Arabidopsis thaliana: one gene and its partners. The protein of the gene in region 1 interacts with the protein of each later gene in a pairwise test. Each region holds a gene or a part of one and is shown on either strand. Other genes may lie near its edges. The genes, in order: AT2G28960, AT3G28220, AT4G38690 and RAC6.

Region 1 (9,942 bases):
AAAACGTAAGCAAAATGTTCAATCTACTTTCTAGAAAACTTACAACAAAGATAATGATTTAATGTTGGCCAGAAAAGAAGGCACAAGTCCAGTCAAACTGTTGTTAGATAAGTCCCTGCACGCCAATATATAAATACATATGGTTCGCTTACATGTCACGTCCGAACAAATCATTCTTGGTTTGATGAGTCAACAATAGAAGTACTACTTACAGCTCTTGTATCTGCGTTAGATTTTGAAAAACTGAGGGTAGACTCCCAGTTAATCCACTTGCTGACAAGTTTCTAATTATGCAACAAATAAAATAAAATGTACACTTAACAAATATATTTGGTTAAATTTGTTTTAAAAATAGGAACTATGTTTGGTAATGCCCTTACAATGAAATGATTTTTGGTGGGGTAGAACTATTTGTGTAACTGCATCTAAGATTTTCCCAGGATAATTCTTGAGGGAGACATGGATCTCCTTGCCAACTAGTTTTACTTAGCCGGTACGTAGCTTTAATGTTTTTGATAGCATTAACTATCATAAACAATAGAAATCAATAGCATATATGGAAAGCCAAAAACAATTATGTGGTAATAAGTGAAAGATTGAGTGAGGTACCATCACTTAGGCTTGTTTCCAACTGTGGGAATTCGATAATAGTGTAAGCCTCAAGAGCGTTGATCAAAGGTGGAAGGGTTGAATTCGGAGTTCTTACGAGCTGTAAATTGCAACCATCTGAATCACATTGCACTGGTCCACTTGTGAAAAATGTAAGTAGCTCTAACTTGGTAGGACTAAAAGCTGAATAATTAAAGTTTCCTTTGAAAACAATGTCGAATTCCCTCGTCTCGTTGGCTGCAAGGGTTTGTATCTCAGCGAAATGAAGATAGAAGTAAACTTCAGCGTTAGAGGGTCTTGGTTTCCAAGTTATGATTAGCGGTGCACTAGCGTTTTTAGGCGTGGCAGCACTTTTGAGTGCAGCTTTTGGTATCTCAAATGTATCTGAATTGTTTATATTGAGACTAGTCGTTATATAGCTAAACGAAGAGCTGAAGAATGGATACCAGACACGATCATAGGAGTCATCATCATACCTGCAAATAAATTGCATTAGGCAGCATAATTAAGCAAATCAATCCTTGTTATTTGTTAAAACCGATTTAAATAGAAAAAAAATAGCTGACACACACAAATCTAATCTCAATGCAAACTACATTTATTTCATACACGAATCATTTTTGTTTACATGTTTAAAAAAATTGTATAACGATATGATAGTTTGATAATAAATAACAAAAAAAAAAATGTAGAAAATTGATTAAAACAAAACATGTCGTGCGGTGATAGTTGCAACTTGTTTTTTTTTATCCAAGTTAATCATGAATAACGATGTTTATATACTAACCAAAAGTACAATAATTTATGTATAAGAAAATTGATGCCATGTATGATTAATGACAGAAAACTCCCACTTATTGTTTTAAACAAAGTCAACTAATTACCTTATTTCGCTATCAGAAGTGCTGCAATGAACCCGGAAAGAGTTCCTCAGTGAGCCTGAATGCGTAAGATAAGTATCATTTCTCATTGGTCGTAGTTCTATAGATGATATTATTGGCGAGGTTGGTCCTGTTTTAACAAGACAAATATCCAAAGAGCTTGACCTCACTCTGTGTATGATCTCCTCGAATGTACCATTTTGTCTTCCTTCCATATCTATTCTTGCCCACTTATCAGGACCAAGATAGAGATCAAAGTTTGGATAAATATTAAGACCATCATAATTTCCATATATGAAGGTAACCAATATAAGATAATTTGTGCCACGAGTGACATTCAGACTAACAATTACGCTTTCCTTCCGGAAAGTATCTTAGAGTCAAATATGGTTTTCGGAATATTTTGTTGAGCTCTTTATCGACTCTACCACTTTCTCCAGTCTGGATAAATGTTGAATCTGATGTGAATGTTAATCCAGTAGATGGATCACTATAAGGAGATTCCTCAATAGGAAATCCGCAATCCAAACTGATGAAACCTGTTCAAGCATAAAAAGGATCGACGAAGTTTAAAAAAAAACTATATATAGAAGATATATCAATTTAAAGGATGGATGATCCTCGGTGAATATCTACTAAAGAGTTTATAAATTATTACCTTCTTGTTTTTGGGCGCCAACTATAACGGCAAAGGTTCCAATTATGGCCAACAAAAGATGGCTCATCATCTTCTTGGAAAGCTAATATGGAAATCAAGAACATAAAAAAGACTTGCTTAGTGAAAACAAGGAGCTACGTAAATGAGAAATACCTCACATACACAGATTGGAAGGAATAATACATTAAAGAAAGTCAACTTAAGCCAGACATGAAGATTGAATAATTGCGAGAATTGCTTTATTTTTGGTTTATTGTGTGAATTTCTTTGACATGTTCCAACCCCAACTTGTGTTTAAAATAATAGGTTATGATCATAAGACTCCGACATGTATAGGAATTTCCTTGTATTAAGGTTTGTATATGTCTTCTTTAAACCCTTGACCAAACATAATAAATCTTCGATTGATCGTTAGACTTGGAGCACAAGGATATAACAAGGTTTGATTTAAGTAATTAGTTTGAACCCGGTCGTTACAAAAAAGGATTTACTACATATGAAAAACAATTACATATTACAACCTATTTGAAACATTACGTCTGATTCACATAAAGAAACATTACGTCTGATCCACAATAATTATAGACGTAACTTATGTAACTTGTTGTAGAATAATTATGTAAAAGAGAGAATTCGTATATTACAACATGGACAGGAAAAAATAAAGATAAAGATCATTTTGTTTGATTCAATGATTTGCTTCTTACAAACTCAGGTATTTATACAAATAATGTGCATCAAGGTAGCCAGTACTAAATTTTAAAAATATATTTACAACCACACTTTAACTATTACAAACTTGTTAAAAAAGCAACAATAAAAAATAAGAATTATCACATAATTAATATTTTTATATAGTTAACACATACAGTTTCCGATTGTCAAAGCTCCATTAAAAAAGCAAATTGTGAACCAAGTGGATAATGGTCCAGTAGCGTTTGGAAATGATCTTTCCAAAATAAGGTTTGATCTCTTTTCCCACTAAATCCCACCTAACAAGGGATATTAACAAAGGTTGATGTAGAATTTCTTGGTTGACAATGTATAGTAATACTGAGAATATGAGCTATAACTATAAGAGGCCAGCTATCTCTTAACGTCTATGAGTAAGCCATAGATAGATAATGCATATACAGGCAAACAAAACGAATATTAGGGTTTGTCAAGAAAAGACTAATCTTAGTTTATTTTTGAAGACCAAGAATTTTACATTATTGCAGAGGTATTGCGATTATAATTGAGTGAAAGTCAACAAAATGTATTAAATCCACCAAGTTGTTGTTAAGTACAAGTCGTTAGCAGAATTATCATATAGTTTATAAAGCTTTGACATTAGATCAACTTGGCAGGTTTTACATTGTTTAAACAAAGATTACATCAGGTGCTTTGATTTATGATTAAATTGCTCTCTTTTTTCCACAAAGTGGAATATAAATGTATATATCTTTGTTAGACCATTCTTCAGTCGTGCTTGGATATGAATCTATAATTGGAGAGTATTCCACGCCAACATGTGTTTTGGATTTTAATTGATCTTCATCTAAAGTATTTCTATCATTTGTACTAGAAAATCAATATATTGTATCATATATTTCAGATTGTCTTTGGTTTCAAAAATTTGTATGTTAACTTAACTTGAAAATGGAAGGTCGTCGTCAACGTTTACTGGTGTTCATCTTTGGGGCTTTGGCCATTACACATCTTGTTCAAGCTCAGCCGCCTGATCAACGAGGTTTCTCTATATACCTTTTTTTAATAATTGCTTCATGTTCAGTTTTTGACACATAAAGACTTAAGGATTAGCCAAGTAGTTGAGTGTTCTTGCTCGACTGGTCGAGATCACTAACCGATTTCTACTTTGTTGTACGCATAGCCACCATGAAAATAATATTAACGATTACAGATATAAGAGATTTGGTTAAAGAAAATAAAGGATTCTCTGTTTTCCAAAACTTTTGATTGTCTTCCTTATAAGCTTCATGGTCTAACAAAAGGAAAACATTATTTTTCACTAATAATACATTTTGTATCTTGCCAGGATTCATCAGTTTGGATTGCGGTTTACCCGTTAATGAGTCTCCTTATACCGACCCACGAACCGGATTAACATTCTCATCTGATGCTGATTTTATTTTAAGTGGTTTACGTGGTGAAGCTGGGGATGATAACACATATATCTACAGGCAGTACAAGGATTTGAGATATTTTCCCGATGGAATACGAAACTGCTATAATCTGAAAGTAGAGCAAGGCATCAACTATTTGATAAGAGCAGGGTTCGGATATGGAAATTATGATGGTCTTAATGTATATCCCAAATTTGATTTACATGTTGGGCCTAACATGTGGATTGCGGTTGATTTGGAATTCGGAAAAGATCGTGAGATCATTTACATGACAACGTCGAACTTATTGCAGATTTGTCTTGTCAAAACAGGATCAACTATACCAATGATATCAACCTTGGAACTACGGCCACTAAGAAATGATTCATATTTGACTCAATTCGGTCCCTTAGACCTCATCTACCGGCGGGCCTATAGTAGCAATTCTACCGGTTTTATACGGTATGTAAACTCAACTTTAGCAACTCTTTTATAAAAAAAAACAATCTAACATGATTCATTTACTTTTGCATGGCTACTCCAAAAATGGTTTTAGGTATCCTGATGATATTTTTGATCGCAAATGGGACCGATATAATGAATTTGAAACGGATGTGAACACCACCCTCAACGTGAGATCCTCGAGTCCCTTTCAAGTACCAGAAGCTGTAAGTAGGATGGGAATCACGCCCGAAAATGCCAGCTTGCCATTGAGATTTTACGTGTCTCTAGATGACGACAGTGACAAGGTTAACGTGTACTTTCACTTTGCCGAAATCCAAGCTTTGAGGGGCAATGAGACTAGAGAATTCGACATTGAATTGGAAGAAGATATTATTCAGTCAGCATATAGTCCTACGATGTTACAATCAGATACCAAATATAACCTATCACCTCACAAATGTAGCTCCGGGTTGTGCTACTTGAAACTCGTTAGAACTCCAAGGTCAACTCTTCCACCGCTGATTAGTGCTATTGAGGCTTTCAAGGTTGTGGACTTTCCATACGCTGAAACAAATCCAAATGACGGTACGCCACTATTCCATTCTCTATTCTGTAAGAAAGGGCTTATTTGCAAAAAAAAAAAAAACAATCACAAAATTGGGGGAAAAATAATGGTCACAAAACGGAGAAAATATTCATGTGTTTATCGTGTTTAATTTGAAATATTGTACTACCATGTTAAAAATTGTGTTATGAAATATGACATGATATTTGTTAAAAATAGCGCGATAAATGAACCAACTTAATCTTTTTTTTTTTTGCAAATAATAGGGTGGAATTTTTGTTTATTTAGTACATACCCTCATTAAGAAACTTTAATCTTTTATATGCTAATTCTTGGCTTCCTCCTCGAACCATTATGTTAGTCGCTGCTATGAAGGATATCGAAGCATTTTATGGATTGAAGATGATTAGTTGGCAAGGAGATCCTTGTGTCCCTGAACTATTAAAGTGGGAAGATCTAAAATGCAGCTACACAAATAAGTCTACTCCTCCAAGAATTATTTCTTTGTACGATCATTATATATCTCATAAGCATATTGAAACCTAAATCTCTTAAGTCTTAAGTATCTTATATCTGAAAAAATGTTCTTATATTGTGAACAGAGATTTGTCATCACGAGGGTTAAAAGGGGTCATTGCGCCTGCCTTCCAAAATTTGACCGAGCTTCGAAAACTGTAAGAGCTATTAGTATTTTACTTAAACGCGATCCATGAGAAAACATTTATATTGTGACCAACATATTTCTAATTTTTCACATCTTATAACAAATTGGACGAAAAAAAATATCTCATCTCATACTATTTTTTTATTTATCCTATTAACGGAAAATAGATTGACTTTTTAACGTTTTATAAATACTAGAGACTTGTCAAATAATAGTTTTACTGGAGGAGTGCCCGAGTTTCTAGCCAGCATGAAGTCATTATCGATCATGTAAGTTGATATAAACAAACATAATGGCCGGCCACTTATATTTCACTAGGTATACTTGTTGTCACTTTACATTGACATTGTAATTTTGTGTTTACCTTGACAGAAATTTAAATTGGAATGACCTTACGGGTCCTCTTCCTAAATTGCTTCTTGATAGAGAAAAGAATGGGCTTAAGCTAACGTAAGATTTTCACCCTTCTTTTTTTTTTATCAACTTTCCTCAACCTATAGTCTTATTCAACAACACTTATTTTCTTAAGGATCCAAGGAAACCCAAAGTTGTGTAACGATGCGTCATGCAAAAATAATAACAATCAAACGTACATTGTACCAGTTGTTGCGTCAGTAGCTTCTGTGCTCATCATTATAGCCGTACTGATTCTCATTCTTGTTTTCAAAAAGAGAAGGCCAACGCAAGGTACATAATTATACAATGAGATATATATTCTTATCGTAACATGCATGCATGATGATGACATACCAAAAGATGCCTAATCTCATGGAACTTTTTGGTTGTGACAGTTGATTCATTACCTACAGTGCAACATGGGTTACCAAATAGACCGTCTATATTTACTCAAACGAAAAGGTTCACTTATTCAGAGGTAGAAGCATTAACAGATAATTTTGAAAGAGTTCTTGGAGAAGGAGGGTTTGGGGTAGTGTATCATGGTATTTTAAATGGTACGCAACCAATAGCTGTTAAACTACTCTCTCAATCATCAGTACAAGGCTATAAGGAATTCAAAGCTGAGGTATGTTAATACATAATACATGGAATATATTGTAACATGTGATGGCTCTTAAATTTGTTTGGACATGGGTGGTCAGGTTGAACTTCTTTTGAGAGTGCACCACGTCAATTTGGTTAGTTTGGTTGGATATTGTGATGAAGAAAGCAACTTGGCCCTGCTTTATGAGTATGCACCGAACGGAGACTTAAAACAACATCTATCAGGTATAAATTTGAATTTCCCACATTTTAAAATAGTGATTACTTAGCCATATTTTAATGTTCATGCTTTTATAACATTACTAAAAGTTTCTTAATTATAGGAGAACGGGGTGGCTCTCCATTGAAGTGGTCAAGTAGACTAAAAATTGTCGTCGAAACTGCGCAAGGTTCGTTCTTAGCTCAAATGCATTAATCACTTTATATGGATCATCTAACATGAACAATTTAATTATATAAATATAGGATTAGAATACTTGCATACGGGTTGCAAACCTCCAATGGTACATCGTGATGTAAAAACAACAAATATACTTTTAGACGAACACTTCCAAGCAAAACTCGCCGATTTTGGCCTTTCAAGATCATTTCCAGTTGGAGGTGAAACTCATGTTTCAACAGCTGTTGCTGGAACTCCTGGATATTTGGATCCCGAGTAAGTTTTACATCACCAAACTAGTTTGATTCAAATTGTTTTTCCTCATTCATTTGAAAAAAAAAATACTTCATGTTTTGTTTGTAGATATTATCGAACAAATAGGTTGAACGAAAAGAGTGATGTATATAGCTTTGGGATTGTATTATTGGAGATCATCACAAGTCGACCTGTGATTCAGCAAACCCGAGAGAAGCCGCACATAGCAGCATGGGTGGGATACATGCTTACTAAGGGAGATATTGAGAACGTTGTGGATCCAAGACTCAATAGAGATTATGAGCCTACTTCTGTTTGGAAGGCTCTTGAGATAGCAATGTCTTGCGTGAATCCTTCTTCGGAGAAAAGACCAACCATGTCTCAAGTTACTAATGAACTAAAGCAATGTCTAACATTAGAAAACTCAAAGCGAGGAGTGAGAGAAGACATGGGATCAAGAAGTTCTGTTGAAATGAGCACAAGCTTTACAACCGAAATTAACCCAAAAGCACGATAACTTGTGCCAAAAAAAATCCCATGGTTATTAAGGATTTTGGATTTCCCTGACTTACTTTACAAAAATATAATTTTTGGTGGTCATTTATTTGTACGACTTCATTGTATTTACTTGTGATTGTGGTCGTATGTGATATTAGTGTGGATGTTTTGTTTGGTTTGGTTTGGTTTGGTTTTATGTTGGTTGTGGCCTTGTGTGTGTTTTGGCGGTGATCCATCATAAATGATTCTTTTGCAAATCTCTGATGATTTTTTTCATCGGATTATGGTATTTTTATTGTTTATATATGCTCACTGATCCAAAATATGTTGTCATTGTTTATGTTACATGCTTCCCTAACTCCTTTTGTAATTGATCAAAAACTTTTGTTTGATAATTATCAAGTTTTGGACTAGTTCTTTTGGTCCATGGACTACAAATCTGCTTCCATCTAATGTTTCTCTGGACCAGTCTCATAATTATACATTTGTTGTTCACATAGTACATCTCCATAATATCATATATTTGACTTTCGGTATGAAATCTTTGTATATATATAGGTTGGACCAAGAAGTTAGGATTCATAATCATAAAAAGTAAGAAAGACGACTAGTTCACGACTCACATCAAATTCCAAAGTATAATTTTCTTCGTAAAATGAAAGTTATATTAGATGAAAATCTTGCAGGTCCATTGGATATCAATTCACGAGATATGTAAACATACCTATATTAATATCACATTATTTTGATTGTATTTGTATAAGTTTTCGCCTACTCACATGCCATGATTTTGCATAAGCTGTTTTTTTTTTTTTGCATAAGCTTATCAGGCTAGTTACGGTCACATTAGTTACTAGAACATTCAACATATATAATTTTCCATAGCAGGATCCGGGTTCCATGTTTGTAAGAGGATTAATGAGAGCATATTTATTTTGATTTCTTTCTATTAATGCGAAAACGGTTATGTGTGTGAACAAGTTGAAAATGGTTGGTTCAGTTTATAGCAACGTCTTCTGCCTATTCAATGTCTCTTTACCAACAAAAAACTTGAATATTTTCTTTTTCTTATCATATAAGCATTACGTTAAACGTCAGAACGAAAATGCACTATGTGAGAAAGTGTTATTCGCAATTTGAAAGCTTTAATGTTTCCAAAACAAAACTGTTAACTTAGTTTTTTTTTAAAAGGTCTATATCAGTTTCTTGTTTGCTGTAAACAGTTAGCCAGTCAAAATATCTGAAACAATAACAGAACTGATCACTAATAACAATAAAATAGAATGAATGATATAATTGTTAAAGCTATCTATGTTAGAGTCAGATATGATTTGGTGTAATCACATGGTGAGACACAGTTTCATAGGGTGGGGACTACCGCATTGGATTCGTAAAACCTCTACGAAGAAAATTTTCACGATTTGGGTACGTAGCCATACGCCAATGGTCCACGTAGTTTAGTTACTTTTATGATTTGGTAAGACTTCGGATTTAAGTGTTGTCGAGATGATCACATGGGAGGTTGGAGAAGTCTTGAAGAGTAGTAGCCAGTGGTTTCACAAGCTCCAACCATTTTGGGTTTTCTTTACCAAATACAATTTCTATGTTCTATTTTCTTGCAATGGTAAAAGCTTATTATTCTTTTAAGTAGTGTTAAAAAAAACTAGAATCCAATATCTAATGTTTAATTGGAGCCTAGATACATGTAGGCGGTTTAAGTGCTTAAATAAAAAAAAAAATTTAGCTAATTTCTGATAATATTATAAAGATATTATGATTCATAATAAACTTAAAATATTTCAAAGTTTCGACGATAAATTGAAAGTTGTCTAGATCTACCTAATGTTCTTAAAGCCGTTTAATAACAAAACCACTAAACCCT
Region 2 (7,530 bases), on another chromosome or scaffold:
CATGGGAGCAGAACGGTTTCCATCTGTGAAACATGTTCAATAGCGATTGAAACAACTGGTTTTGATGAAAAAGGAATCAAATCTTTGCTTGAGAAACACGAAAGATCCGGAGATTGTGATCCAAACAAGAAAAAGAAACCAACGTGTCCTGTAAAACGTTGCAAAGAGATTCTGACTTTTGCGAATAACCTTACTTGCAAATATTGTGGAGTCAAGTTCTGTTTGAAACACCGGTTTCCGACAGATCATGTCTGTAACAAGAAGATCATTAATACCGCGGGAACAAGCTCGAGGTGGAACGAGAGGTTTATGGAAGCTTTGAGTTTAAGAAACCAGAAAGGGTGTGGAAGAGGGAGCTCTGTTTCATCAAAATCTTCACCATCAGTTAGATCGTTTTAGTTTCTTCTCTTGTAACAATAGTTTGCATCAACCAATTCCTTCTTTATGTTCTCATGTATTTTCCATTGTTTGCAAGAAAGAAGATTAATATTTTCATGAGTAATATTTCGTAAGAGAAGGAAGAAGAATGTTTTTATTAATATTAACTTCATTGGGAAGTTTCTTCTAAATTTTTAGATTCGGTTTTGGGTCCAATTTTTTGGGTCGGTTCCAATACTCAGTAAGAAGACTACTTAGAAAATGTAAATGTGGTGCAGTGTCTGTAATCTAGATTGCATATACATTGAAGAACCCAAAGATTGAATTGTTGTTCGTATGGCTTAAATGAGGTAATGCTGAAATCGATTTGTGAACAAAAGAGAATATGTGATTAATATCATTAACATAATACTCAATTTTGCTGTACGCTAATCGACATTTGTTTCAAATGGACCGATATAGCTATGGTTGAAGAGATGGAAGAGGTTGAGAGTGTTGTTTACAAGACACAAGTAGATGTGTGATCCTTAGAGAAAGGTTTATATGATGTGGGAGCTGAGATGGAGAGTCTAGCAGGTGAGACACGCACATGTGTGACCATATCAAGTAGCTATGGAAATGAGATTGAAGTCATCAAAGCATTTTTAAAAGGATGTGAGAAGGAGATTGGAGAGCTCAAAGCCATGAACTTTTGTAGTAAGAAAGAGATTCAATCTCGACGTTACTTCAAAAATTTTATCGGGTGTAGTTTAGTTATGGTTTGTAGTCTATGTTTTCATCTTTTAAGTATGAAAAGTTAGTATGAGTTTGTTGAGTTAAGAGTTCTGATTGTATTTTATTGGATTGAGTTTGAGTTTCAATTGAAAGTTGTTGTTTGGGTTTTACATAACACAAACATTGGGCCTTAATGGGCCAACGAAATTGGCAAGGTGAAGAAGAACAAAATGTGGGCAAAAGTTTGTTGCTCATTTAAGTCACCTATATATGCATTACAACGTACGACGTATAGTGGAGGTAGGTGAGAAAAGAATCTAAAAAGAGTTCTAGAGAAGAGAGATAAAAGAGCTTCCTAAACAAGCTTTCTTCTTCCTCTTTGTTGTTCTTGAATCTTTGTTCTTCTTGAGTGCAAATCTGTAAAACCAAAAGACATCATCACAAGTTAGTGAAGCTTGGGAGCAAGAGATCTCCCCCGAGACCCCGAGACGTAGCGGTTGAGGCCGTGAACTCGGTTACCAATTTCTGTGTCTGTTTATTTTCTTACCAAGCAATCTCTATCACTCTTTTCTCCACAAAAGTAATGAATAAATAACATAATAATGTTGTATATAACATACCAAACCCGAGGCAATTACAAGACAAAAACCATTATCCTACAAATTAAAAATTCAAGACAAATAGCCAAAAACCATAATCTATATCTTGAAGCCGAGATCATAGTCAAAACCATCATCCCATCATGTTACACATAAATCCGATAATCCAAATTAAAACCATCATCCTGAACATCATAAGTTTCCCAAACCAAAAGCTTTTACACAATTAATCACTAAGTGAAATTTGTGATACTTGATTCGGACCTTGATAAGAATGAAAGTGTAATCCTTTGTATTTCTTATCTATCAATCCAATTACAAAGAATCAAAACCCTAATCGATAAGCTTGAAGTTACAGTTCTCCAATCTTATCTCCTAAGAACAGAGCACATGCATAAGCCCTAATTCTACTCACAACATCAATATGATCACGAAGGATGCTTTTCTCTCTACTCTCTCTTAGACTCTTACTATTTATAAGTTTCTTCACACGTGACTCCGATCTCTCACTTCAGTTCTCACACGTGCCAACTTCTCATGAACGTATCAGACCTTCACCAAGTTGTTTTGTGGCCGACTTTTAGCTTGGATTCCAACATTAAAAATGTCATTCTCATCATCACCTCCTCTAACATCATTTCCATCATCACAAACTCGAGCATTCTCACCATTGACGTTTTCACAAGCTCTTTTCATCATTACATTCTTCAAGAATCTATTCCTTCTCCGTAAATATAACAACCGCTTTTGTCCACTTTGCAGCTAGACACATTCTCTCGAAAATATCATCTCTAGTATACAACGGTTCAGCTCTATAAACTTCTCAAAAGGAAGCTTATACCGTATCCTTTGCCCAAACAAAGACAATCCCACCGACTCCATCATGTTATTAAAAAAATTTTCTTGCATGCACACAAGTGTGTGAATCTGGCCTCCATCATATGTAAAAACATTACCGTCTGTACAAACAAAAAAAACTATTTTTGGCGAAAAAATTATCGTCGAAATATTGTTGGTAGGAAAAACACAATTTTATTTTGTTAACTTTAAACATTAAAAAAATAAGGATATATGGTTATTAAAAATTAAAAGAGAGTAATGAAAATGAATTACATGAAAGGGTAGAATTAAAAATGAGTAGCATTGGAAGGTCATTCCTAATAATTTATTTATTATAAATTCTAGATATTTATAAAATAAAAACTCAAATATTATTATATATTATACTATAAATTAATAAAAAATATTTTCTACAAATAAAAACATTTTTTAAAAATTAATTATTAAGCATTTAATCGATAGTTTTGATACGTATATAATAAAATATAGTTTTTAGTCTTTGTATTGATTACTGAAGTTCTACATTATAGCTAAAGCTAAAGCTAAATCCAAAAACAGAGGCTAGGATCGGAACAGAAGAACAAAACTATGTTGTGGTGTAGAGCGTTTGGGTCCATTTCTTGTTGTTAGCTAAAGCTATGTCTGGAGTGTTTGACGTTACATGCTAAATTTAGGTACAACTTAAACTTTTGTCTTTTTCTTGAAAACACGTGTTGAACAAATCTTTTCTGGTCGATAACTCAAGAAATCTTATCTGGTCGCAATCCATCTTATACCGACGTGAAATCTCAAGACACGTGAATATATAACTTGTTCATAATAACATTATCACTTTTATCGAACGCACAAAAGATCCTCCGCTATAAATATTTGTGGTGAAGAACTCTTTATACCAAACAAAAAAAGCTAAATACCAAATAAATGTTGGTACTCATCATACATATATAACTAACTCACCTTTTTGGTGTGTAGATAAATATATCTAACTAACTCCATTACATATTCCAGTCATTTGCTTATAAATTATAACCGTCACACTTACCAATTCAGTCACTTAACCAAACATGTCTGAAAAGGGGTTGATAAAAAAAGAAGACCACATGTTTCAAGAGGAGAAGAGAAAGACAAACTATGGAGCAATTGGCTTGGCTTGCTTCATTTCTTGTTTCTTTGCATTCCAATTCATGAAAATCGTAACAACACAACCTTCAACAACAACAACATCATCCATTGCCGTTATCGATAGCCCAATGTCCTCCCATAAGCTATCTGATAGGAGAGAAATATGGAGAGTTATCCCACCATCTACCTATTGTCTCAAAATCGAATCTTTCATAAAATTCGCCACTTCTCCAAACGCCGAGAAGTACGAATCCCGTCCTTTTGAATCCGGTGGATACAACTGGTAAGTAGTATTTTATCCTACATTTTGCATATGTCTTTGCATCACAAATTTTCAACGACACATTTGATTGTAAGACTATATATCCTTTTGCAAACAGGACACTTATTGTCTATCCTAAAGGAAACATTAAGGAAGGAGCTCCACTTAATTACGTTTCAATGTACGTCCAAATAGACAATTCAACACTCCTTAACTCTCCAAAAGAAGTTTACGCAGAAGTCAAATTCTTCATTTATAACCGGAAAGAGGACAAGTACTTAACATATCAAGGTATATACATCCGAACGCCCTATTTATATCTTATTTATAAACTATATTGTATTAATCAAATTTTCAACGTTTAAATTTAAAACAATTGAGACGCTGATAGTTTGCATAGTTTCAAATGCCAAAATTTGCATTTAAAAACACACAATCTCAAACGCATGTCTTGGTACACAGAGACGGATGCAAAACGCTTTTTTCTGTTCAAACCATATTGGGGATATGGTAATGTTAGACCCTACACCGACGTGGCTAATCCCAATGCTGGTTGGCTTTTCGACGGTGACAATGTTTTATTCGGTGTGGACGTATTTGTCACTGAAGTTTTTAACAAATGGGAAGTGTTCTCATTCACTAAGAGTTTGCATGACCGCCTTTACAAATGGACGTTACCCAATTTCTCGTCACTAGAGAAACAGTACTATGTCTCTGACAAGTTCGTGATCGGTGGGAGAAGCTGGTGAGTTCCTCATGTCATAAATTCTTTAAGCCACATATTGATACTTAGTCCTGGATGTTCGGTTATCCATTCCGTTATCGGTTTTTTCGGTTCTAAAGTTATTATCTATTTGGTTATTTTGAAATTTCGGTTTGGTTCTTTCGGTTTTAAATTTAGTATCCATTCCGTTATTTTGATTTGAATATTTTCGGATATTTTAATTATTTTTGGATATTTCGGTTATTTTTGGATATTTTTGATTATTTTTGAATATTTTAACTATTTTATATATATTTTTAATTATTTAGTTTAAAAATAACTAATATTTTTAATTATTTAGTTTAAAAATAACTAATATTTTTGGAAATATATTTATATTTCAGATATTTTGGTTATCCGGGATATTTTGGTACGTAGCCATTTAGTTTCGGTTCTTTCGGTTCTTTCGGTTATATATAGAATTTAGTATCCATTTGATTATTTTTTAATTTTTGATTCCGTTCGATTCTGTTATTTTGTTTCGATTTTAGTTCGGTACATTCGATTAGGTTTATTTGCGCAGGCTTACTAATACTGATTCAAGAAAAAATTAACTATTTACAATATTTTAATATACAACTCTTAGGGCTTTGAAAGTGTATCCAAGTGGCGATGGCGAAGGACAGGGTAACTCGTTGTCGTTATATGTTGTTGCGGTTGATGTTAAGCCGTATGACAAGATTTACCTAAAAGCTAAGCTACGGATTATAAACCAGAGAGATTCTAAACACATGGAGAAGAAAGGTAAATTATATCGAACCATAATAGTGTGGCTAATGTTACTTACTCTATTAATTTTTTTCTTTTAGAGTTTAATTAACACTAACTTAATGACAGTTGAAAGCTGGTCGGATCAAGCAAACAGTTGGGGATTCCAGAAGTTTGTACCATTTGCTGATCTTAAGGATACTTCTAAAGGTCTTCTTGTGAATGATACATTGAAGATGGAGATTGAATTTGAAGATTTCTCTAACACAAAATACTTTCCAAGTTAAGTTTTGCATAATGCAAAACCAGAGAGCTTGGAACCAATTGTGTTCTGTTTTTTAAGTGTTTTTGTGCTAATAATTGGAGGATTGGTCTTCCTAAGGTTTAGGAGCCTATCTCCCACTTTTCCCAATTCCCTAGTTTGTAGAAATCGTTGATTCCAAGCTAGCTTTTCTTGTACTTGTTTCCTATTTAAATAAATGAAAACTAAGAATAAAAGCAGTCTTAATTTACCATTGAAAAACTCTTGTTCTTACTTCATTCTAGCTGCGACTAAGACTAACACTAACCGTGGAATAACACTTCTAAAATCAACCGAATAAGTTTGCGCGTATGATAGTAATTTGAAATAATAACAAGCTTTGCGCACCAACAATAAACATCGATCATGTTCTTAAGTTTCACGAGTGCTTCTTTGTTATTTGCTCTCTTTCATCTGTTTGTTACTCTATTATTTCTCTGGTTATGTAGTGTATATAATACATATAGATCTACCAAGCAATTCATAATGTATAATATATCTGCCATGTATACTCTATGTAAATTAAGCTATGTAACCAATCCATACTCTTCTTTCATTGTATTTTTAACAATCATCAATAAGCAAATCAAAATTACCAATATCTAATACAACTCGTTCCTTTTAGGAAATAAATAAGAAGCAAAGAAAATACTCTCTACTAGTTGATGAAGGCTTGGAAGGGAGATGACAAAACGTACGTAGCAAATCAAAGAGGAAAATCCAACCCTATCCACACAGTTTTTGGCTCTTTGCTTGCATCACAAGTCACAAAGACACATTGATTCTAAAACCATTCATTTGGAAACAGAACACTTATTGATTATCCTAAAGGAAACTAAAGAAGGGAGCTCCAACTCTGGATGGTTTTAACTTTACGTCCAAATAGACAATTCAAGATTCCTTAACTATCCTAAAGAAGTTTAGGTTAATAAAAAAGTTTTGCTCTTCCTACAATCTCTAGTGTTATCAAAATCTCATAAAAAAATTGTAGACAAAATAAAAATAAAAAATATAAGCCGCTGATGTTAAGCCCTACGACAAGATTTACATAAAAGTTAAGCTACAAATCCTCAGCCAAAACGATTCTAAACATGTATAGAGAAGAAAGGTAAATAATATCAGAAACATAACAGTTTGAGTAATTACTGCTTACTTTGTTAAGTTGCCCTTTTCCGTAATCTTATTCGCATTCGAAGCTTGTCGGTTGGAGGCGAGGAAGGGATCCGATGCAGCCAATGCGGGAGAGCAAACCTGGAGAAACATGGGTTAAAGAGGTGTTCAAACGGGCTCCAGTCTCCAGCAAAGCTCATAATGCGACCATCGCTACTATATTCCAACTTCTTGTGACGCCGAAACTTGCCTTTGAGCAAGCTAGTAGATACTAAACATTTATGCATCTCACTCCACAAATACATTTTATTAGCATCAAAAGGGTTTATTGCCAACGGAAAGTAATCTAAACCACTCTTGATACAAGCCGGAGATATTTCAGATACTATTTCCCATTTCCCACTCTTTAACCTCCATACACATAACTTAAGCCCTAAACTTCCATCATCTTTTTCTTCATTGATAATTTTCATATACATAAGAGATCCTTGGGATGTTGTGAAAGCTCTTCTAAAATACACATCGTTTTCTAGATGAGGGAACTCTATAACTCTGCATTGATCAGATTCCGTACCAGTAGCATATAAATTGTGGGATACAACAAGGTGATCACGATAGTTGTTGTAGCAAAGCCAGTAAAGGTTTCCATTCAAGCTAACAGGATTGAACCAAGCAACACGCTTCAAAAGATAAGGAGATTGGACAGTGTTGAAACTCCATAGGCCTGTCTCAG
Region 3 (6,672 bases), on another chromosome or scaffold:
AGATTGACGAGAAGCTCGAGGCTGAAAAGCTTAAGGACATTGCTGCAGCCATGGAGAAGCCTAATGAGAAATCTACAGGGAAGATGGGCTTTGGTCTTGGCAATGGCCGTAAAGACGAGGAACGTATTGAAAGAAGTTGGAGGAAAAGGTATATATCTTCTTTGACTATAATAAAACTTGGTTGATTCGTTTCTTTAGTTTGCCTGCTTGTTTTCTGATTATACCATCTTAGTCGGGCAAAGTATTGATCTCTTACTGTCTGTGGAAATTATTGACATGGGTCTAAGAAATTGTGTATATTGTGGGAGATAGGGATTCATATATATGCTATAAACAGTGAGATTTTGGATGATCATTCATGTGTTATGGATCACTGCATTAGTATAGTAGTTAATATGTTAAATTTGGTGTTATTAGTTTTTCTCTACATTCATACATGGAAGTTGATGTCTTGAAGTGAAGCTGAAAGATTGGATCTCTCTTTCTGTTTTGTTTTTTTGATCTGGCATCCCATGTTTAGAGAGCTCTGTTTTTCTCTTTCTGCGTGATGGTAATGGGTTTTTTAGTTAGTGTTGTTGAGTATTGTGGGAAGTTGTAAATTTTGTAAGCATGTTTCTTACTCTTAAATTATTTTGTCTTTGAACATTGAAGCACGGAGCATTCTGAGGAGGATGCTCAAGAGGAGGAACCAGCTGTAGAAGGGGCAAAGAAGGAAGAGACTGAGGACAAACCGGCTGTAGAAGAGGCTAAGAAGGAAGAAACTGAGGGTGAACAGGCTGTAGAAGAGGCTAAGAAGGAAGAGACTGGTGGCGAACCGGCTGTAGAAGAGGCAAAGAAGGAAGAGACGGAGGACAAAATCTAAAGAGTCAAAAGGCATTTTTGTGGATTGTGATAGTTTGGGTTCTTGAAGTTTAGCTTCTGAGAATTTGTGTTGTTTAATTTGGATAAGTTAAGTTGTGTGGGGGAACTCTAGAGAAAATTTTGGTAGGGTCTTTTTTTTTATAATATCTCTCTGTCTCTTTTTTTTACCACATACTCTGTTGCAATTTTTAGGGTTTTGGGGTGTCTTTTATTTTTTACGAGTTGTACAATTTCATTATTGGTTTAAATCTGTCTTTGAATTTGGGAGCGTTTAGTTGATCAGTGATCAATGGTGCGTAGAGAGAGTGATGTTTGTTATTAAGAGCCCAATTGGCCCAACTTAACCCGACCCAGTATCAGATCTGGCCCGTATTCTATAATCTTCTTGATCGGTGCAGTCCACTTAAGATATATGTGGTGAGGAATAAATCCAACCTGTACAAACACACAGAATGTAGTGGGACGGGGAATATGATAATACCACGCGCTTTAGAGCTGGGAATATATTAAAATTGATCAAAAATAGGCATTTTGGCTGGACTATATAGCTTACCCATTTTGATAACACGCGCTCAACGCTCCTAAGGTGCGCGTGGTACATATCCTTACCTCGAATAAAGTTTATGCTAGTTATTTGGCAGAATCTCAAAGCTTTTTAGAATCATAATTTTCTAAAATAATTAAATCTCTTTACATGTTTTCAAAGTTGTCAAACACTATTACAATTTTGAACATATCATCAATATCAGACAGAAAATTTTCAAAGTTAATACCTGGATCATATGCATTTACTATTTTCTTTTTGTTATATAGAAAAATATCAAATAGATTTTCTAAATAATGACATATACCCTCTTTTTATAGGAGAAAATCTTTTTCCTGTAAACATTCCTAAAATTACAAGTGATCAAACTATATATATATATATATGTTCTAGATTCATTTGGATAGTAAACTTTCATATCAATTCCTTAAGTTTATAAATTATGAAGAGCACATTAATAATATTTTTCACACTCTGTTTGAGCATGGCCGTTATGGCGCGTCACGAATCCTACTATGGCAACACCAAACCGGCTAAACTGAATGAGGAGAAAGTGACACGTGTCAGATTTTATCTCCATGATACTCTCAGTGGCCAAAATCCTACCGCCGTTAGAATCGCACATGCAAATCTAACCGGTGGCTCAGCTTCGCCGGTAGGTTTTGGAAGCCTGTTTGTGATAGACGATCCGCTCACCGTCGGGCCGGAGAAACACTCGAAAGAGATCGGGAATGGTCAAGGGATGTATGTCTCCGGGTGCAAAGACTTGAGCAAATTCACGATCGTCATGTACGCTGATTTGGCTTTCACGGCAGGGAAGTTTAATGGAAGCTCGATCAGTATCTTCTCGAGGAATCCGGTGGCGGAAGAGGTCGGAGAGCGAGAAATCGCGATTGTTGGTGGCCGTGGGAAATTCAGAATGGCGAGAGGTTTTGTCAAAGTAAAAACAAATAAGATTGACATGAAGACTGGTGATGCTGTTCTCCGATATGATGCTACTGTTTATCATTATTAACCGATTCATATGTTCCGATTAAAACAATAAAAAGGCCAACTAAATCAATTATTCAGATCAAAACTGAATTTTGCATGATCAAGAGATCAAAATTGATTAATTATGTTGCAATCTTTCTTCTCAATTCCCAAAATCTATACTAGTAATCTCTTTTACATATCTTAGTTGTGTGGATCGTGATATTTGAGATAGTCTTACAAAAGACATGATAGGGCCTGTGAGTGTATATGATTGGTTTTCCATCGGATCCTATCCGAATTTTATCCAAAATATTAATTATCGATGCCTTGTTTAAATTTTAGGAACGACTTTTATTTCATAGAAAATTTGAATATGTGTCTTCCAAGAAATAAAAATCACGTTGTATTGATATCTTTCACGTCGGAAAATAGCCAGGCATTAGAAATTGACAAATAACAAACAGTGAAGACAGCTATACAACAAAAATGGACCTACCATACATTGTAAACCCACTCTCCCATCAATTACAACTCAACCACTCTTTCAATATATCTCAACTAATCAATCAGTTCACATTTATAACACTAAAATGTTCCCACAATAAAAATTGTAACAGTTAATCTTACATATTAAACGCTACTACTTTTTTTCTATGGTTTTTGTTAAGTTAAAAGTTGAAAGTTACTTCTAATTTGCGAATATGTCAACGGTGTTTTGAGAAAGTAGCGTAATTATTAAAAGATTAACGTATAATTCGTAACTTCTTCAAACCAATAATAAGTAAATAAAAAACAATCATAACGACTTATGAGTAAAGGTTTATTGATAAAGAAGGCATGGAACATTTTATAAACAAGAGAGAACAGAATTCAATATAGTGATCAGAGAAGAGAGAGCAAAGGGAAAGGGTTAATCCTCAGCAATGGGCTCTCACCTTTCCAAACAACTCGAGCGGCGAAAAGCCATCTCCACGGAGAAGAAAGCCCTCACCGATCTCGAGAAATCGTGCGGCTGCGAGTTTCCGGGGTGTGATTACATGCCTTCCGATCGTAAAAACTGGATGGCCGGCGTTGGACCTGAAAAGCTTCACATCAACAAGATCGTCTGGCCTGGGACGCACGACTCTGCCACCAACAAAATCGGTATCCGATTCGTGTCTCGTCCCTTTGCTAAGTGCCAATCTCTCTCCATCTATAACCAGCTCGTGGCGGGTACTCGAGTCCTTGACATTCGTGTCCAAGAAGATCGCCGTGTATGCCACGGTATCCTCAAGACTTATAGTGTCGACGTTGTCTTGGCCGATCTCAAACGGTTTCTATCCGAAACAGAGTCGGAGATTGTCATTCTTGAGATCAGAACAGAGTTTGGACACGAAGACCCACCGGAGTTTGATAAGTATCTTGTGGAACAGCTTGGAGAGCATCTGATTCACCAGGACGATCACGTGTTCTCCAAGACAGTCGCTGAGCTGCTTCCCAAGAGAGTGATCTGCGTTTGGAAACCGAGGAAATCGCCTCAGCCTAAGCATGGTGATCCTCTTTGGAGCGCTGGTTACCTTAAAGACAATTGGATCGATACAGATCTTCCATCGACCAAATTCGAGAGCAACATCAAGCATTTGAGCCAGCAGCAACCAGCTACTTCAAGGAAATTCTTTTACCGGGTGGAGAACACAGTGACGCCGCAGCCCGATAACCCAATAATGTGTGTAAAACCGGTGACTAAGAGGATACATTGCTACGCCAAGGTATTCATCATAGAGTGTGTAAAAAGAGGATGTGCTGATAAACTGCAGATATTCTCAACTGATTTCATAGATAATGAATTTGTTGATGCTTGCGTTGGGCTCACCTTTGCGAGAGCTGAAGGTAAGGCCTGAGGAATGAGCGTGTGGAGACAGACTTTGTGTATCTATTTTGAAGGAAAAGAATCAGAACATGGTTGATGTGTTTTAGGGTTGCTTGTGTATAAGAGAACATGTGAGTGTGTATTTGTATGTGTGTGTGATTTACGAGTGTATATTCCAATTCATTACAACTTATTTGAATCCTGATACAATTGCGAGATATCCAAACTCTTCATTACTATTAATTTCTGATACTTTTGCAGATGTTGTAGTTGATAGACAGGCAAAACAGAAGGAAGAAGTATACAGTTGATGGTAAAATCTAGTTTTAACAAGTGAAAGAGAGCTGCTAACCTGAGAGATGACTATATTTCTGCAGCAATGCCCCTTTTTATTACACACTACTGTGATCTTCAAGAACAAAAAGATAATAGAATCAGTTATGCTAGAATTCATATCAGTAGCTAATGACACAATGCATCTCTATAATTTCATTATTTGATTATATCTATAAACTGAGATGATGGAAACATGGTGCAAAATCCTAATAATTTGAGATTAGATTTCTTCTCAAGACTTGAAACACAAAAGAAGAAGAAGAAGAGCATTTGATCCACAAGAGTGATTGAGCCGAGCCAAATTATTCTCCCTGCTGAGATCGGCAGCGAGACCACTCTTCTAGACTCTAGACATGGGATGCAGAGAAACCAACTTTTTTTATTTAAACGGCTGCGTTTTAAGTCATGTTCTCAAATGATACCAGTTTTTTTTTTTTTTTTTTTTTTGCTAAGCACAAGTTTGATTTGTTGTTTGGCACTTTACGATAACATCATTTTACTCCTATACTTTCTCACGGTAAGTGATTAAGATAAAAACATGCACATTTTTCGAATTATAAGCTAAATTTAAAGGGATCTATTTTCTATCTCTCAATAATTTTTAAATTTTACTCATTTTCTATTTCTCTTATAAATTAATTACTTGGTAATTTAGTTTTGTAATCGATACTCAAAAATCGATATCCAACAAAGGACAATCTCTTTGCGGTCAATAGTCTTCTCAAATTACTTCATACAATTATCATACTGTTTGGTAAAATTTGTGAATCTGCCTCATAAAATGTACGTGGAAAGTGGAACAACAGTTAATGCTTATTTTGACCACAAGATTGAGAAAATTTTGAAAAGAGTATATTGACCAGTTGCTGACGTTGCATGTCATTCTTTAATGTTGTTGTTGACTGCAACAAAAAATAAAATACAACATACAAAGTAAAAAAATAAAAATAAATTAATTGATCTTTGTTTCTCTATTCCCCAGAGAGCTAGCTTTTCAGATCTAAAATCAGAATCTGACGGCTGATATCCCTCGTGAAAAACACCCCAACCGTCCAGATGCAACTGCTTGCTGGGCCAATGATCCATTCTCTTTCCCGAAATGGATTAATCAATTTAAGCCTTATCACATGCTGGCCCATTTTCTAACTCCTCTTTTCTTTTTTAACTTACTTTTCTTTCTTTTAATATTTTAGTTGCAGATTCATTTTCGAAATCAACGAAATTTATGTTTTTTTAATTTTCTGGGTATCTTAATCGCGAGATTTTTTATTTTAATATCACGCTCGAATATACAATTCGGAATGTGCAGATGTTTTTTTTGAAGGCAATTTAGAAAAATAGACAAAAATCGAACAAACATATATAGAAATAGAGATCTAAATAAAAACATTTATTTTATTTCCTCTTGGAAACAAGGAAAAAATGAATTGGGGTGGGTGACGTGGCAGTCATACCCTTGCCACACCCTTCCTATACGCATATAAACAGCAGCTGCGAGGAGAGAGAGATTTCAGAGTATTTTCTAGGGTTTCGTTTTTTTTAAAGATTTAGAGAAAAAAGTGAGTTATTAAGAGATTCCAATCAAAATGAGCGGAGACAACGGCGGTGGTGAGAGGCGCAAAGGCTCCGTCAAGTGGTTTGATACCCAGAAGGGTTTCGGCTTCATCACTCCTGACGACGGTGGCGACGATCTCTTCGTTCACCAGTCCTCCATCAGATCTGAGGGTTTCCGTAGCCTCGCTGCCGAAGAAGCCGTAGAGTTCGAGGTTGAGATCGACAACAACAACCGTCCCAAGGCCATCGATGTTTCTGGACCCGACGGCGCTCCCGTCCAAGGAAACAGCGGTGGTGGTTCATCTGGCGGACGCGGCGGTTTCGGTGGAGGAAGAGGAGGTGGACGCGGATCTGGAGGTGGATACGGCGGTGGCGGTGGTGGATACGGAGGAAGAGGAGGTGGTGGTCGAGGAGGCAGCGACTGCTACAAGTGTGGTGAGCCCGGTCACATGGCGAGAGACTGTTCTGAAGGCGGTGGAGGTTACGGAGGAGGCGGCGGTGGCTACGGAGGTGGAGGCGGATACGGCGGAGGAGGTGGTGGTTACGGAGGTGG
Region 4 (6,868 bases), on another chromosome or scaffold:
TTTAGACATTTTTAGTTTTGAACAAGATATGACAAACATTCTAATCCATAAAGACAAGCGTTTTGGTTCCTACTTCGTATCAAGAGGGCTACTTACTAAGTTACTATTTGACCTTGAGAGACGATCGTTGTGAAGGTGTTACACTAAAATATTAATTATCCACTAATGACGAACAGTGTCCTTAATTTTTTGTTGGTTTGGGGTTTTGGTTGGGTCTCTATTGGCCCATTGGGCTTATTATGAATGCTTCTAGTTTTTGTTGTTGTGTAATTTTCATCTCGGTGTCAACCTGTCAAGTCAATTGTCACCTCATGCACAAACGGTAACTTATTTGAGACGCAAAATTTACAACGGTAAGAAAATATAGACGTTAGAAAAGTAGCCGTTGAAAGAAGAAATCCGAAGCTGCCTATATAAGTGGCTCGTGCTCACTCACTTACTTCCCACAATCATTTCTTCTTCTGTATAATCGCTTACTATTCTCGTAGTTTCAGAAAGCAAAAGTCTTTTTTCTAGTTGAAAAACCAAAGAGAGAGAGAGTCAGAGAGCTCAAAGTTCATCCAAAGTTAATCGAGAGCAAGTTTCATTCCTCTCAACAAAGTTCGTCCAAGGTTTCTCGTAGTCACTAGCCGAACTCTGCTTTTAAGATTGGTAAGAATTCTTAGATGTTTCCTTACTTTTCTACGACTTATGTTGTTGATCGAAACACTTTCATGGTCTATTCTTCTCACTAAAGTTTCGTCAGTTTCAGTTTTACGCATCATACTATTTTCACTTTGTCTAAACTCACATCTTCCTCTGTTTTCTTTTTCGAGTGTTCTTGCAGGTTTCTCTCCAAGCAAATAGCTAGAAATGGAAGGCTCATCAAGCTTCACTACAACCAACGCAAAGAAAGAAAAACAGAGAGCGTTCACCCAATTTCCCCGTGATTTCATTATATACTATCATCGTAATCAAGAACTCTGCTTTGAGACTCTGCTTTAGGGTTTGGTAAGAATCTGATGTTTCTCCTTTTTGTTTGACGAATTGAGCCGTGTATTTTCTGAAACATCTTGATTTTGGGAATTGTAGTCATAATGTTAAAGAGAGTTATTATAGTGTAATTTATCTTTGAGAAATTTCTGCCATCTAAACTGTTTCTGACAATTACAGGTGAGAGAGAGAAGAGATAAATGATCCGTCACAGTCACGACAAACGATCCACGGCAACCTTTGGCGGTGATAGCGGGCTTGTTGCGCCGGGGTATCATCTTGGACTTCCAGTTGACTACTCGCCGTGATGTTCAGGGTTAGTTTCATCAATGCTCTTCTTATATGTCTCTCTCAGTCGTTACTCTGTTAAAAGCCATATAATAAATCGTAGACTTGGTGAGTTATTTGGTCGGATTTTATAGATTAACTCTCTCATTCATCCATATGTAGCTCGTGTATTTATGATTTTTATGATTTTTTGTCATTGCATATTTTCAAACTTGTTAGTAATTTTGGAATGTTGATTTGATAAAACTGATTCCAACTCCACGAATCCTGGTTTATCAAAACTGTGATTGTATCATCGTACACACATCAAATAAAAACTTTTACTTTGAACATTTTCAAATGCTAACTTTTTCCGACAAATTAATTACATGGTTTGTGAAAGATTCCCAACTCTTAACGTTTTTGTTCTCGCTGTCGCAGGTTTTCTTATCAAGGAAGGTTACGTTGACCCGAATAAGTTCATTAGCATAGACATCTTTCCTCACGAAAGGCAAATATGACCAATGTTGACATTTTACATACTCGGTAAAATATTTGTTAGTTGAGATTATTGCAATTTTTGGCAGAAAATATTACCACACTTTGTTGACATACAAATAAGTTCAGGTTTGGTCCATACACCACATTCTCACTAGCCAACATGCAAATTCAACTAACCACATTCAATATCATCAAACATCCTTGAAATTTTAACATAAATTTGGCGAGTATGCGGAAGAACTAGTGCATTACAACTTTATTGTACCGCAATTGGCTGATTGGTTTCATAAATATTGAATCATAACTTAGAGATTTTTTCACATTTGGTGAGCATCCGGAAAAACTAGTAAAAAAATGAATTAGAATAGTAAAACAAATCGTACTAGAAATTTTACAGACAGTTAAAAACACGTATAATTTTAGCCAGTGTTAATTTTTCTTATTTGCATTTTAAACAACAAAGACAAAATACATTATGTGCAACTCCTTTATTTTACTTTTTTGTATACAAGATAAATAAATTAATTTGAATATACACTAAAAAATCAAACAGAAAAAAGAAGAAGAAGTAAAATAGTAATTATTTAAAAGACAACAGAAGAAGTAAAAAAAGTAAAAAGATTGCAAAACAGTCGGAAGGTTGAATGGCTGAGATTAATCGAACGCTTCAATGGCAATTATTTCCGGCCATCACTTTCTTCTCTACTTCTTTCTTTCTCTCTCTAGTTGTTGTTCTCTCTCTCTCTCGCATCCTCCAATTCATCGTCCTCACGTTCCCTTTTGTTTATTCATCTTCCTTCCTTCTTCACATTTCTGATTTTCTCTATTTGGGGGGTTTGTTTCCACATTATACATATCTAGGGTTTTGAGATGGTTAATTGAAAGATAATGGTCGAAGTTTCGGAGGAATTGGCTTCACATTGTGGGTGTTTCTGGCTTCCTCAGGTTTAAATCTGAGGTTGATCTCTTTTGTTTTTTGGTAAATTGTGACATATTTTGGCTCGAAGAAGAAGAAGAAGAGGCAATGAGCGCATCAAGGTTCATAAAGTGCGTCACCGTTGGTGATGGAGCTGTTGGTAAAACCTGTTTGCTGATTTCTTATACCAGCAACACCTTTCCCACGGTATTCATCAATCATTCTCCCTCCTTTTTTTGATATCTGATTCATTTGATTCTGATTGTGCCATATATGAATTGGGATCCATACATACTAAAAATGTTGTATACATTTCCATTGGAACAGGATTATGTTCCGACTGTTTTCGATAACTTTAGTGCAAATGTGGTTGTTAATGGAGCCACGGTGAATCTTGGATTGTGGGATACTGCAGGTAATGAATGATGATCCAATTCATAATCCTTGGTGAGAGAGCTTTCCTTGATGAATCGGTCGAAATTATGTTTTTGGTTTATGCAGGGCAAGAGGACTATAACAGATTAAGACCTTTGAGTTACCGTGGTGCTGATGTTTTCATTCTTGCCTTCTCTCTCATTAGTAAGGCTAGTTATGAGAATGTTTCCAAGAAGGTCAGTTTCGTCCGAACTGGTCGACTATTTAACAATTGAGAGTTCCAAATTTTGATGCTTCTTTTCTTTTACAGTGGATTCCTGAGTTGAAGCACTATGCTCCTGGTGTCCCAATTGTCCTTGTTGGAACCAAACTAGGTTACTTCCTCCTCTCACATTTGTCCTTGTTTATGCATTTATTTATATATATGTCTGATTCCCATGCTTACACTGCCATTTTCCTTTTCACTTTATTAAGCTGCTCTGGTATAATATATCATGACATTAGTGGACATAAAACTTCACCTTCTCTTGATTGTGGTTAAAACTTGTACATGTTCAAGATGTATTCGTTAGGTGAAACTGAGGGTAGTTTTCAGAGAATATCATTGGTCAACAGGCTTCTTCTTGTATCTTGCACTTCTTGTGATAAAGCAACCATATCCTATAACACACGCCTTTAAGCATCCTCCAATGAAATAGCTACTGTATAGCAAGTGTATACCTTTATAAAAGACACTTGCAAGATCTTCAGTCAACTCATGATCCTGGCCTTTTTGATTGTCTAACCTTGGTTGTTGTCAGATCTTCGAGATGACAAACAGTTTTTCATCGACCATCCTGGTGCTGTCCCTATTACCACTGTTCAGGTAAGAATACAGTTATTTCCTCAGTGCAATTTTATCAGCTTTACCACCGTTAAGCATTTTCCCTCTCTGCATGGAAGGGAGAGGAGCTGAAGAAGCTAATTGGAGCGCCAGCTTACATCGAGTGCAGTTCAAAATCACAAGAGGTAAACGAATAAAAGACATCTCATGAATCATCTTTTCGGTGTTGGATTCTTCATCTTTTGATGAAAACAATGTGACTATAACTGCAGAACGTGAAGGGCGTGTTTGATGCAGCGATCAGAGTGGTCCTTCAACCTCCAAAGCAGAAGAAAAAGAAGAACAAAGCACAAAAGGCCTGCTCCATCTTGTAATAGCACTCATGGAAGTCAAGAAGCTCTTTGAGATGAGGATGACAGGGTGGTTTAAAAAAGTATCGCTTTTTCATTTTTGTTGTTGTTTTCCGTTTTCATTTGTGATCTCTTAGTTCCGTACAAAACGAATTGTGAGGTTAATTCAACTTCTATTTTAACTGATAGCCGAGAAAGCTTGTCTAGTTATTTACAAATGTTTTATCAATTGTGATAATGTTACTAATCCACTTCACATGAAAATTCCATTTCGATTTCTCATTCTATTATTATAAGAACAAGAGAGATTGAGACGAAATACTGATATTACTATATTGGTTACCAACCGCAAAGAATAACAAACAGTGTGTTCTTCTTATACAACCTTGGAATTTTAAGGCTAAACCAAAAAACTGTCTGGTCCAGAACATGGATGTCTCGACCAGATTCCTTGTTAAAAACTTCCTGCTCTTTGATGTTATCAGAACGGGACTGTGTAAGGTAAGGCGTAGACATCAGCTTCTGGTAAAAGGCGAGCACATGGCCACCCCATTGTATTGCCTACTTGCTTGATCTCATTCTCTCTATTAAGTTGTTTGCATATTTCTGTGGTGCTACTTGGCGGCTTCTTCATGGACCACCAACATTCTTCATCTTCAGAGTTAATGAGGTCTACTCTTCTCTCGATCGTGTTAGGGACCCAATTCTCAACTACGTCCAAGAATTGCAACACCATGGATGGAGGGCAATTGCATAGGCTTTTAGGAGGTTGATAAGTTTCTCGAGTAGAGGATGAGGATATCTTCTCTTTACCGTGTTTCCCTCTAAAAATGGGATCTTTCCTTTTCTCTTCTCGTGGCTTCGAAGCATGTTCTGCTGCAGAAGTGGAACAAGGATGTTGATTAACCGGCTCTCTAGTAGGAAGTTGGGACGAGTCTAACTTTATTCCCCGAGAAGGACCTGGTTTTTCTTGATCCTTATTGGTCATCATCACCTCGGGATCTTTCTGCCTTCGAATAGGCAATCGAATCCGAATGATGCTTTCTTCAAATTCATATCAACAATTTGAAGAAAGAATGTCATCAATGTCCTGATAAGGTAATTAGACCCAACAAGAATACAAGATCCTTCCCCGGGGAAGGAAGAAACACAAACAAACTCACCAGAGTCGTTGTTGTTATGTCTAACATCGAGAGGCTGCTGTTTCTCTTTCTGCTTCTCCTTGTTGTTATGTCTACCATTGAGAGGCTGCTGCTTCTCAATCCGCTTCTCGTTGTTGTTGTTATGTCTACCATTGAGAGGCTGCTGCTTCTCCATCAGCTTTTCGTTGTTGTTGTTATGTCTACCATTGAGAGGCTGCTGCTTCTCAATCCGCTTCTCGTTGTTGTTGTTATGTCTACCATCGAGAGGCTGCTGCTTCTCCACACGCTTCTCGTTGTTGTTGTTATGTCTACCATCGAGAGGCTGCTGCTTCTCCACACGCTTCTCGTTGTTGTTGTTGTTATGTCTACCATCGAGAGGCTGCTGGACCTCCTTCTGCTTCGGTAACATCTCATTGCTGTTAAGAGTGCTATCACAAGAGTTTTGGGACGTCGACTGAAGCAGCTCACGTTCTACAGTAAGGCTGCTCTTCTCCAAACAATTGACTTCACTTTCTTTTAGTTTGTGAAAAAGATCAACTTTAGCACCGTCTTCTTTACGCCGTCTCTTATGACTGCGCTTTTCGCTTCCAACTTCCTTTCCTTCCCTCTCCTTCCTCTTTTTCTCCTTCTTCTCCTTCTTCTCCTTCCTCTCCTTCTTATCTTTTTTATCCTTCTTATCACTTCTTCTATCCTTCCTCCTTTGTTCTTTCTTAGCTTTCTCCTCCACCCCCTGAATTTACACAAGCAATCAACATCAATTAGTTCACAGAACTTGCCAAATTCAATACAAAAAAACAGAAACAAGCCCTCAGATAGACCAGCCCTTAAACTCCAAACAAGTGGTGTTCGCACATTTAGTCAAATTACACATTTTGATTAGAGTAGACAATGAATGTGCTTGACTCGCATCTTTTTGATTAAAATTGCCACCTTAAGCGAACGATTAATATTGAGACATTGATTCGAATGCGTGCTTTTTGTTTACTTAAGTACAACTTAAGATCATCTTTTTCAATTAAAATCTCGCAACATTCTCTATCCCCCATCTTTCAAGCCAACAATTTTTAGTAAACCTTAGAACACAGATGATACCAGAAACTGGAAACACAAGGAAGCTGAGCATTCGAAATCTCATGAACCCGAAACCCAAAACCGAGATTTAAATGCTCAAACAAACCTTGATCGATGATACGATCACAGCCTCATCGCGGATTCCGTTTAGTACATAACCAGGTGGCGGGAACGGAAAACACCGAGACATCTTACCACACGATTACACACAAACAAAATCCAAGCAACAAAAAAAATTGGATTGCGAAGGTGAATCGGAAAATATGAAATCTCAGATCTCGCGAAACCCTAGATCGATCACGAGAGACCTCGAGTGAGTTTAAAGATGTTAGGGGTTTCTAATAACGCGCCAAAATCAAATCTAAGAGGTTACAGTAGACATAAGCCAACGATCGGAGGTAATAGTTGAGCGGAGAAGATCGAAGGAGCCGCGAGATCTCAGAACCCTTCG

The links.
Region 2: the proteins of AT2G28960 (region 1) and AT3G28220 interact in a protein complementation assay, tested with the Arabidopsis thaliana proteins (one large-scale study listed by BioGRID).
Region 3: the proteins of AT2G28960 (region 1) and AT4G38690 interact in a protein complementation assay, tested with the Arabidopsis thaliana proteins (one large-scale study listed by BioGRID).
Region 4: the proteins of AT2G28960 (region 1) and RAC6 interact in a protein complementation assay, tested with the Arabidopsis thaliana proteins (one large-scale study listed by BioGRID).

The regions. Positions count from the first base shown.
Region 1 is NC_003071.7:12,436,195-12,446,136, reverse strand, and holds AT2G28960 (Leucine-rich repeat protein kinase family protein), read left to right. Parts: upstream 1-3,544; 5' UTR 3,545-3,789; coding exon 3,790-3,880; intron 3,881-4,186; coding exon 4,187-4,715; intron 4,716-4,809; coding exon 4,810-5,282; intron 5,283-5,623; coding exon 5,624-5,768; intron 5,769-5,864; coding exon 5,865-5,936; intron 5,937-6,123; coding exon 6,124-6,195; intron 6,196-6,298; coding exon 6,299-6,376; intron 6,377-6,455; coding exon 6,456-6,613; intron 6,614-6,717; coding exon 6,718-6,950; intron 6,951-7,026; coding exon 7,027-7,153; intron 7,154-7,251; coding exon 7,252-7,317; intron 7,318-7,393; coding exon 7,394-7,583; intron 7,584-7,670; coding exon 7,671-8,079; 3' UTR 8,080-8,419; downstream 8,420-9,942. Other genes in the region: AT2G28970 (Leucine-rich repeat protein kinase family protein), read right to left, coding at 44-115, 213-284, 381-525, 610-1,085, 1,494-1,548, 1,838-2,029, 2,149-2,218.
Region 2 is NC_003074.8:10,520,825-10,528,354, forward strand, and holds AT3G28220 (TRAF-like family protein), read left to right. Parts: upstream 1-3,356; 5' UTR 3,357-3,595; coding exon 3,596-3,936; intron 3,937-4,033; coding exon 4,034-4,206; intron 4,207-4,377; coding exon 4,378-4,660; intron 4,661-5,264; coding exon 5,265-5,422; intron 5,423-5,515; coding exon 5,516-5,673; 3' UTR 5,674-5,909; downstream 5,910-7,530. Other genes in the region: PMZ (zinc finger (AN1-like) family protein), read left to right, coding at 1-399; AT3G28216 (uncharacterized protein), read right to left, coding at 2,454-2,600; AT3G28223 (F-box family protein), read right to left, coding at 6,845-7,530.
Region 3 is NC_003075.7:18,072,331-18,079,002, reverse strand, and holds AT4G38690 (PLC-like phosphodiesterases superfamily protein), read left to right. Parts: upstream 1-3,045; 5' UTR 3,046-3,303; coding exon 3,304-4,260; 3' UTR 4,261-4,683; downstream 4,684-6,672. Other genes in the region: AT4G38710 (glycine-rich protein), read left to right, coding at 1-148, 418-456, 652-862; AT4G38700 (Disease resistance-responsive (dirigent-like protein) family protein), read left to right, coding at 1,848-2,420; GRP2 (glycine rich protein 2), read left to right, coding at 6,152-6,672.
Region 4 is NC_003075.7:17,021,411-17,028,278, reverse strand, and holds RAC6 (RAC-like 6), read left to right. Parts: upstream 1-2,412; 5' UTR 2,413-2,764; coding exon 2,765-2,863; intron 2,864-2,983; coding exon 2,984-3,071; intron 3,072-3,157; coding exon 3,158-3,267; intron 3,268-3,341; coding exon 3,342-3,405; intron 3,406-3,831; coding exon 3,832-3,896; intron 3,897-3,973; coding exon 3,974-4,039; intron 4,040-4,126; coding exon 4,127-4,228; 3' UTR 4,229-4,442; downstream 4,443-6,868. Other genes in the region: AT4G35940 (uncharacterized protein), read right to left, coding at 4,686-5,248, 5,368-6,076, 6,524-6,607. UniProt on the Arabidopsis thaliana protein: May be involved in cell polarity control during the actin-dependent tip growth of pollen tubes.